Linked DNA regions of Ovis aries. Each later gene encodes a partner of the first gene's protein in a complex. Links are inferred from orthologs where the notes say so. Each region holds a gene or a part of one and is shown on either strand. Other genes may lie near its edges.

Region 1 (5,814 bases):
GCTTTCCCTCAGATGGTTGCACAATAAGGGGTAGTTGGTGGGATGCGAATCAGATCATCTTTAGACAGCATTTTCAGCACAATCTTTATACAGAACAGAATACATTTCTCCACATTGTACTTAGTCCAGCAGAGCCCAGACTCTGGGGCTGTTGTTTTTAATCCTCAGTGGAGACTTCAGGCTTTGCTACTTAGCACATTCTCCAGGGCTCTAGTTACCTGATCAGCACTGAAGTTGTTCAGAGACACATTCTTCTCTTGGCCAAATGCTGAGGAGACAGAAAGATTATTAATTATTCATTCTGCACTGTACAGGCTACCAAAGTAGTCTTCCACTTACACTCTTGGTAGGATATGAAGGGTAGTAAAGAGATATGACCAAAATGTATTTGACATGCCTAGAATTTATCCAGTGGGTCTCTAACATATCTCGGAAGCCCAGGTCTAAGTAGAATTTTGGCTCATTCTGGGTGGTCATAATGGGAAGGAAAGTGTTTCAGGGAAGTTTTAAGGGGCATGGTAGCACTGAGTATTAATCACTGTCAGCAGAGTATTACATGGGCCTGCCTCTTAATTGTGCCCTTTTAATGGCTCCTATAGTTCATTAACTAAAGTTATTTGTGTGTCCATCTCCTCTAGTCTACTAGCTTTCAGAAGGAAAATTTTTTTCCTGCAAACAACTTAGTGCATGGCAAACTGCAGTTAGCTGCACTGTTAAAACCAATCTGCCCTGGGTGTGACTCTCTGCCTTCCCCCAGACATTCCTAGGGCAAAGTGTAATTAAAAGCTGTGATTAAAAATACCATTATTCAGTGAGTGAAAGTGAAGTCGCTTAGTCGTGTCTGACTCTGCGACCCCATGGACTGTAGCCTGGCAGGCTCCTCCGTCCATGAAATTTTCCAGGCAAGAATACTGGGGTGGGTTGCCATTTCCTTCTCCAGGGGGTCTGCCGGACCCAGGGATCGAACTTTGGTGTCTCATATTGCAGGCAGACTCTTTACCGTCTGAGCCACCAGGGAAGCCCAATTATTCAGTAAGTATGAATATTTATTGTGTCTCTATGTTCAGGCAACATCAGAGTAGTTTTCAAATTGTGGTAAAATGACACAGGTAGTATGTTAATAAACACTTGGTAAAATGAAACAGGGTAAAGAGGCAATGTTACATAACTGGTCAGGGAATGCCTTTTTGAGGAGGTGATATCGAAATTCAGACCTACAAGATTACCTGAATTGTAACCTGAAAAGCCAGCTACTTAAGTCTGGCAGAAGTGCAATCTAGGATTGGGGAACAAATGTAAAAGCTCAACCGTGTTATGCATCTTAGCTGAAAAACGTTAGGTATGTTCCATACAATTGTTCATTCAGCGTTTTAATCTCTACAAGATGAGAAAAAGGAATCCACCCCTTATATACTTAAGGTTCAAGAGATTTGGAAAGGAAAGCACTCAACACAGGCAACCTGAAGCCTGTTCTGAACTACAAAAACGATTCCTATGCAGGGCAGGGCCTGTCTCCACCTGTTACTTGGATACAAACACTCTGTAACTCTGCGAATGTATATTTCCTTATTTGCAACAAGATCAATAGCAAAGCTGAAGTCTGAGTCCCAGTCCCTGTGTAGGTTTCTGTGTGACCTTGGGCAGCTCTTTCTCTTTTCGAACCTTTGTTCCCCCTCCGGGGTCTCTGGTTCCCTGCGTCCCGCGCTCACCGTAGCGGGCCCAGAGCTTGGGCTGCACATCGGAGCACTCGCGGATTAGGATGGGCAGGTCGGGATTCGCTTTCTTCAGCTCCACATAGCGTTTCTCAATGAAGTCCCTGCGGGGCAGGAGAGAGCACCGCGCGTGCGGTGTGGGCACGGGCCTCTCCAGACACCCGGGAGGTCGAGGTCATGACCCTGGCGCCCCGAAGCCCACCCGCCTCACTGGGCCGCGCCTCACCTGACGCCCTGGCTGCCGGGCGAGCGCTGGCACAAATGGATACGAATTTCACGAAGGCCCAGTTTGCCTCTGACTCCGCGAATCGCTGCAGCCGCCGCCATCTCGGCTAGTACTCAATCATCCACCCTAGACCTTCCGGCCAAGTAATCCTATCAAATCAGCTTTGGACGCTCCAGCCCCGTGATAGGTTGGTGTACGCAAAGGGCGGGGTCACGCTTAGCCAATGCCATAAAAGCATTGCCAGTCAACGCCTGCTCTGATTTCTCCGCCCGCGGCCGAGACGGAAAAGCTGGGGCCCGAAAGGAATTGTGGGCGGTCTCCTGAGGTGCATTGTGGGGAGGTTCCTGTAGCTTTGTGTTGTTACAGGATCCTCGGTCGTTGTTGGGGTTGAAAAACTGCGGACGAAATGCCGGAGCGAGATAGTAAGGCTCGGGTCATCTCTCCTTTTTTCCACGCGGGACTCGGGACATGTGGCGTGTTATTTTGGCCTCAGAATTTAAGCCGTGTATGTGGGGGGTGGGGCGGAGTGGAGGCGGGCCGGGAGTGTGACGCTTGGACCCTGGCGAAGCACTTGGGCCCTGAACGAGGCCGGGAAATTCCAGATTGTCCCTAAATCTTGTTCTTGTCCCAGCGCACGACAGATAAGATTTATCTGTGAGCCTCCCCCAACCCCTGTCACTTAATTTTCAGTTACGTCAGTTTATCTTTTGCGTAGTATCTTAGATGTCATGTTCGGGATTTCTTGGCTGATCCTCCAGCCTGGTTTTAGGGGTCCTGTCCTCTGCGCTCCCGTAGCTCCTTGTATTTTTTGCTTTAGCATTTTTTACATTGTATTGTCAGTGTCGCTGTTCTTGACTTTTTTCCCCACTAGATTGTGAGCAAGTTGACAGGAAAAGACATCTGTGTATTGTTCACTACTGAATCCCCAACTTTTGCACAGGACCTGACTCTAAAGAGATTTATTAAATTAATATCAATTCTTTTTCTTAGGCGAACCATTCTCCAATCCCTTGGCTCCAGATGGCCACGATGTGGACGATCCTCACTCCTTCCACCAGTGAGTGTTTTGACGTAGAACCATGGGAATGAGCTGGGGAATGAGCGAAGTGGTGGTGGTGACAGTGAAATAATTCTGAATGTCTTGTCACTAAGAATGGTCAGAGAATCATACCTCTTGCCCTGTTACCTCTGTGAACTTTAACTGGGTCAGGCCAACTGCATAAAAGTGTTAGAGGGGAAATAATGACAGAGTGAGTGCTAATTTTTTTAAATTCATGTTTAATTTTGCATTATTTAGGAATTAATTTTTGTATAAAATTAAAACATCAGAATGAAGTCAATGTTGTCTTCGATAACATTCCCAATTTCATTCCCTTTTTTAGAGGTAGCCATTTTACCTGTTTTACACATATCTTTTTTGCTACTCTTTTTAAATGCATTTATACACATGCATTTATATCTCAGTAAAATATTGCCTTGTGAGTTAAAATATTAAAATTAAGTGATGTTACATTGTGTGTATATAATTTTGCCATCTGATGATCTTCCCTTCTCAATATCTTAGTCCTTATTTTCATGGCAGTGACAAGGACTTCTTTTTTTTTTTAAGTTTGTCTTTTGTTAGTTTCATTTGCAGATCTCTGGTGCAGAATATATATATAAGTATAAGAGGGTAGAGGGAAAGTTTTTCCTGTTCTACTTGTTATCTACATACTTGTTGACGTCAAGTATACTAATAGCCAGTCCTACTTGGTTCTTGTTCTGGCTCAGCAGCAACAGAAACCAACCCTTACCCTTAGTGTGATACTCAGCTTCATCTTCCTCCCTGGCAAGATACCCTGCCTTCATCTTCCCTCACAGCCTGTCCTTTGGCTTTCTCTTAGCTCAAGCCTTGTCTCATCAATGTCCCTCCAGGTGTGAGCGTGGATCCCCAGACTATGGGGCAGGGAGAGGCGTGTGAGGTTCATGTAGTAAGTGTCCAGGTGGCTGGAGCTAGACTGCTACACAGTACACACAGAAGTGATTCCATCCCGGTGCCACCAGCTGTGATGGCTATACATCCCCCACATAGGTTTCTAAAATGCTGGTGGATTAGGGCCAGGGTTCATACCCCAAAATCCCACCCTCAGAACTCTATAGTATGGGATAGCTATGTCCTAGTGACCCCAAGTGGAAATGTAGTCAGCCCCGAAGTAGGGATGCACACCTCTGCTGAAAGACTCCCTTCTTGACCAAACTCTAGTCAGGCTTCTGCAGGCCTTATATTTTTTTCCAGGTCTCCTGAACCCAATTTTAGCAAAGAATTCTGTTAGGGTATGGAGAATACCATCCATCCATCAATCAGTCAATGAGATCCAGTCACTCCTCTTGCTAATCTAATCAAATTCATCTTCCACTTTGATGTCTGAGTAATTTTCCATAAATTCCCTATTGTCTCTGTTGTATTCAGAGTTGAATTTTGATCCTTATCCCCTTTTGCAATAGTCTTAATTTGTATTTTGGTAGTGTTGAAGAGTCATTTTGGGGGAGACCTAGCAGGATTCTTCGCTACAGTGGGCTCAGCAGGCCAAGGAAGAGGCCTGCTCTGAAGAGAGTTTAAAGGAAACTTGAGTTTGGTCACTGTATCAGTTAAAATTACATCTTATACTATCAGTGCTATGTTCTCCACATTTGGGAAATACTGTCACAGTTTATTTGTTAATAGTCTCCAGTGAGAGTTTAGGTCCTTCCCAAGTTTTTATTATTTTCGAAACTGTAATTAGATCTCTTTCACAGGCCTTATACACATAATGCCAGTAATTGACCAGGTTAAATACAGTTGAATGGAGTTGCTCCATCATAGGATATTACACATTTAAATTTTAAGAAAGATACTGGCAAATCATCCTCCTAGTTATCAGTGCTGATTTACATTCGTGTCGGTGATAAGAGAATATCCACTTCCCATATTCTCACTCATTCTTGACTTATCAAACTTTTTAATCATTAGCACTGATGCATTAAAAAAGGCATGTCTTTGTTTTAATTTGTATTTGCCTGATTTCTAGTAAAGTGAACCATATTTTTTACATATTCCTTTTCCAATTCTCATCGGGTACTAATTTGTAAAAATTTTTGCCCTTTAGATCAAAACTCACTAATGAAGACTTCAGGAAACTTCTCATGACCCCAAGGGCTGCACCTACCTCTGCACCACCCTCTAAGTCACGTCACCATGAGTAAGTTCTGGGTTGATCCAATCTGTGTTCTGACTATTTCCTATGGAAAATTTATTGAACTAGATGTCTTAGGAACTTGAAAGCACCCCCTCCCCGTTTTTTTTTTAAGTCCATGGTTTTGATTCCCTCCCTCTTGAGATTGAAGCTCCAGGAAAGACTGGGATGCTCTAGGGATCTCAGTTTTTCTCAGAGTATGTTCCACGGACCATTTGTTGGACCAACTAGAGTTGCTCCTGTGCTTAAATAAGATTTCTGGATCCATTCCAGCCCCACAGACTCAGATTCTAGGGCAGATGTTTGGGTATATATAATTTTAGTAGTCCTTCAGATGTTTGTGATGCTTTCTAAAATTTGAGAACGACTCACCTACAAATATTGACCTGGATCTCTGCCTGATTAAAACTGACAGTTTTTGCTTTGGTCTGTATTCTAGGCTTTTCTTTAATTCTCAAGGGCACTTCTTGGGGTTTCTGGTGCTGTGGCAATATTTTGCTATCCATGAATTTCTTTTTTTGCTAGGATGCCAAGAGAGTACAATGAGGATGAAGATCCAGCTGCACGAAGGAGAAAAAAGAAAAGGTAAAGGAAGGTGGAGGAGTATTGGGTTTTGTGGTGGATGGTGTTTGGGGGTAAGGAATAGGGGCTAGTTAGGAGCCAA
Region 2 (4,178 bases), on another chromosome or scaffold:
CCTCGGGATAGCATAATTTTGGAGCTGATAAATTTACAATACAAATTTCTATCAACTCTATTTTTACAGTCCTTCGTAGCTCAAAACTTGTGTCCTGCACTGTTCTTTGATTGAGACTTGCCCAATTTTATTTCTTCTCCCAGCTGAGGCCCAACTGTAGAACAGGTGAAACCACTTGAGAAGTAATGCTACTAACAGTACCTTCAGGAAAGTTCCCTTCAGCAATTTTTCACTCCTGGACTCAAAAATTACTGATAAAATCACTTTTCACAGCGCCTGATATATGCCATATTTCTGGACTTCAAGACTTTGCTCACATTGTCCCTTCTCTCCGTACACAGCAGTTATAAAATCTTTTCTACAGCGTTCTGCCAACTAGCCTGTTTTTTGTTTTTGTTTTTAAACACGATCCACCTAGAAAATGGGGGCTATTTGTTCCTATTCTATTATAAACCCTTTCGGTTCAGTTCAGTCGCTCAGTCGTATCCGACTGTTTGCGACCCCATGAATTGCAGCACGCCAGGCCTCCCATTGCTGCTGCTGTTGCTAAGTCACTTCAGTCGTGTCCGACTCTGTGCGACCCCATGGACTGCAGCCTACCAGGCTTCTCCATCCATGGGATTTTCCAGGCAAAGAGTACTGGAGTGGGGTGGCATTGCCTTCTCCGGGCCTCCCATTAAGACTTACTAAATAAAATTCAAGTTCCTGGAGGACACGAGCCTTTTAACAATATTCCATACTCCTTAGAGAGATCTAAGTGATGTAAACACCAGTGCTTAATAATTACTTACGGACTCATATACAAACACTCCAGCCAGGAATATGTTATAATAGGCAGTCTCCAGAAACGGACAGAACTGGAACGCTTAATAGTGTTCGGATCTCAGACACTATTCTAAGCTGCTTGGGGGATTTTTTTTTTCTTGCCACTGGCCTAAATTACCACCACTTGCCCTCAAGTGACCAAAAAATACCTCACCACAATCCGCTCAGCCTCATCAACTGAGCTAATCAAGTGCTGTTAACGGGATTTCTATTCCGATTAAACTCTGAGCTTTCAAATTTGACAATCTTTACAAACTGCAGTTCATTATCTCCTGAGTTTCATTATTCATCACTACCCTGTAATAGTCGGGTTTAGACCAACCTAACGAACAAAACCTTTACTTGAGACTTCCCTCGTCGCAGGGTCTTAACAGCAAATCCCAGTGGAACCAACTTCCCGCGGGGAAGACGCGTACAAGCACTGCGAGACTGAGAACACCGGGGCAGCCTATGGACATGCGCAGTAACAGACTCCACCTTCTAGTCGTAGGCGTCTAGAAGTCCTCCACAATCCCACAATCCTCTGGTCGTATACTTCCGGTTTTTCTAGCTCAGTCGAAGGTGGTGTTTCTATCAGTCGCGGAGCAGTTTCAAGTGGTCCTAGGAGGAGAGGGTTTTATCTGTTCGTTGACGTTGTAGCTGTTCACTTTGAAATCAGTCGAGTTTCGGGAGTCACCGCCGCTGTCGTCAACATGTCGGTCCCAAGCTCACTCATGAAACAACCGCCCATTCAGTCAACGGCTGGGGCCGTCCCGGTTCGCAATGAGAAAGGTACTGTGTTGAGCGGTTTTCCAGTCGGATCTTATCTCTTTCGTCAGGATATTCCAAACTTACCCCGGGTCCACCACCTTATCCCCAGAGATCCTTAAGACCCTGCCCCTATTTCTTCGACTTCCCCGTCAAACTCGGATCCGATCGCGTTGCTACTTAGAACTCATCTCCTTAGTAGAACCTGTGTGCTCTCTCGTCCACCAATAAGTTAAGCTAATATAGTGAATGCCTGCTATTTGCATGGCTTTGTGTAGCATACATTTTGTTGTCCATTGTCTGTTTATGGTGCTTTTATAACTCGTATGATTGTAATTACTTGTCCACCTCCGTCTACTACATCGTAAATCAATAACCTATTTGAGGCAAGAACTCTATCTTAAAACTTTTTATCCCTTTCAGCCATCGCAGTGACTGTATTTGTTACATTGAATACAAAATGGTGTAAAACAGTGGTGTAAGGAACTCATAGTCTGTAGATGTGAGACATGCAAAAAAGAGGCACATTCTGAACAAATTTATGGTCTTTCCCACCTATAAAACCTGTCACATAGGTGATATAAACGAAATGCTTTGGGAGGACAGAGAAGGAATAATCTCTTCAGATTGGAATATTTAACTTGATCTTTAAAGGATGGGTAGGATTCTAATGAGTGCAGATGGACGAAGGAAAACTGTACTTGTTTGGGGAGTCAGACTGAAAGTCTGAGTTTTTTCAGTAAAGTATTTGGAAAATAATGTCAGTTCTTTTTATCTTTTAAATATACAGTATCTATCTTTGTGCATTCTGCCTTTTGTTGTTGTTTTTTCCTTAAGTCAGCATGACTTTGGTAAGTGTCCTTTGGATACCTGAAGATCTCATTCATTCACTTTAACTGCTTGTTTCGTCGCTAAGTCCTGTCTGACTCTGGGACTCCATGGGACTGTAACCCACCAGGTTCCTCTGTCCTTGGGATTTCCCAGGCAAGATTACTGGAGTGGGTTACCATTTCCTTCTCCAGGGGATCTTCCCTACCCAGGGATAGAACTGGTGTCTCCTTCATTGGCAGGTGGATTCTTAACCTCTGAGCCACCAGGGAAGCCCCTTTACCTGCTTATAAGTTCCATTGTATAATTAAACCACAGTTTGATCCCTGTTGAGGGACATTTAGTTGTCATTTTGTTACTTTTTTCCCTTTTACAAATAGTGCTTAAATATGTCTCTTTAGTGCACTTGTGTAAAAATTTCTACTAGGGTAGTGTGAATCTACGTTGACACATCATTTATCATTCAGTCCGTAGTTTGCATTAAGATTCACTCTGATGTACATTCTATGGATTTGAACAAATGTATCGGGATATATATCCATCATTATGGTATCACACAGTATTTTCACTTAGTAATATGCATTTTAAGTTTCCTGCATGTATTTTCATGGCTTGATAGCTCTTTTTGTTTTGTTGTTGCTGAGTAATATTCCATCATCTGGATGTACCATAGTTTACTTATCCATTCACCTCTGTGAAGGACAGCTTGGTTGCTTACAAGTTTTGGCAATTATGAACAAAGCTACAATCGATATCCATGTGCGGGTTTTTGTGTTTTGCTCCTTTGTATAAATACCAAAGAGCGGAAATGAGATCATATGGTAAGAGTATGCTTAGTTTTGTATGAAACCACCAAACCATCTTCCAAAGTGGTTGTGCCATTTTGCACTCCCACCCACAATAAATCAGAGTTCCTGTTGCTCCACATTCTTACCAGCATTTGGTATTGTCAGAGCTCTAGATTTTGGCCATTCTGTGTGTAGCAACATCTCATTGTTGTTTTTTTTTTTTTAATTTGCATTCCCTGAAGACATATAAGGGCTTCCCAGGTGGCTCAGTGGTTTAAAAAAATTACTGCCAATGAAGAAAACAAAGGTTTGATCCCTTGGTGAGGAAGAGGCCCTGGAGGAGGAAATGGCAGCTCACTCCAGTATTCTTGCCTGGAGAATCCCCATGGACAGAGGAGCCTGGCGGGCTACAGTCCATGGGGTCGCAGAGTCGGACACGACTAAGCCACAGAGCATGCACGAAGACACAAAATGTGGACCATCTTTTCACATACTTATTTGCCATCTGTATATCTTCTTTGGCAAGGTGTCTGTTAAGGTCTTTTACCTCACCTTGTTCTTCAGAATTGTCTTGGCTCTTTTTGACCTCCTGTTCTTCCATATGATTTTAGAATCAGCCTGAGAACAGCTTTTAATGAAATTACATTAAAATTATAGAGCACAGGTCAGTTCAGTCGCTCAGTCGTGTCCGACTCTTTGCAACCCCATGAATCACAGCACGCCAGGCTTCCCTGTCCATCACCATCTCCTGGCGTTCACTCAGACTCATGTCCATCAAGTCCGTGATGCCATCCAGCCATCTCATCCTCTGTCGTCCCCTTCTCCTCCTGCCCCCAATCCCTCCCAGCATCAGAGTCTTTTCCAATGAGTCAGCTCTTCACATGAGGTGGCCAAAGTACTGGAGCTTCAGCTTTAGCATCATTCCTTCCAAAAGAAATCCCAGGGCTGATCTCCTTCAGAATGGACTGGTTGGATCTCCTTGCAGTCCAA

Evidence for each region.
Region 2: IK (region 1) and MFAP1 share a complex: the UniProt entries of both Homo sapiens proteins name them as parts of the spliceosome B complex. The link is inferred for Ovis aries from reciprocal best matches to the Homo sapiens genes IK and MFAP1.

Annotation. Positions count from the first base shown.
Region 1 is NC_056058.1:49,440,833-49,446,646, forward strand, and holds the start of IK (protein Red), read left to right. Parts: upstream 1-2,248; 5' UTR 2,249-2,344; coding exon 2,345-2,360; intron 2,361-2,928; coding exon 2,929-2,995; intron 2,996-5,063; coding exon 5,064-5,156; intron 5,157-5,675; coding exon 5,676-5,735; intron 5,736-5,814. Other genes in the region: NDUFA2 (NADH dehydrogenase [ubiquinone] 1 alpha subcomplex subunit 2), read right to left, coding at 1,582-1,816, 1,939-2,039. UniProt on the Homo sapiens protein: Involved in pre-mRNA splicing as a component of the spliceosome. Auxiliary spliceosomal protein that regulates selection of alternative splice sites in a small set of target pre-mRNA species. Required for normal mitotic cell cycle progression.
Region 2 is NC_056071.1:53,265,322-53,269,499, reverse strand, and holds the start of MFAP1 (microfibrillar-associated protein 1), read left to right. Parts: upstream 1-1,378; 5' UTR 1,379-1,517; coding exon 1,518-1,596; intron 1,597-4,178. UniProt on the Homo sapiens protein: Involved in pre-mRNA splicing as a component of the spliceosome.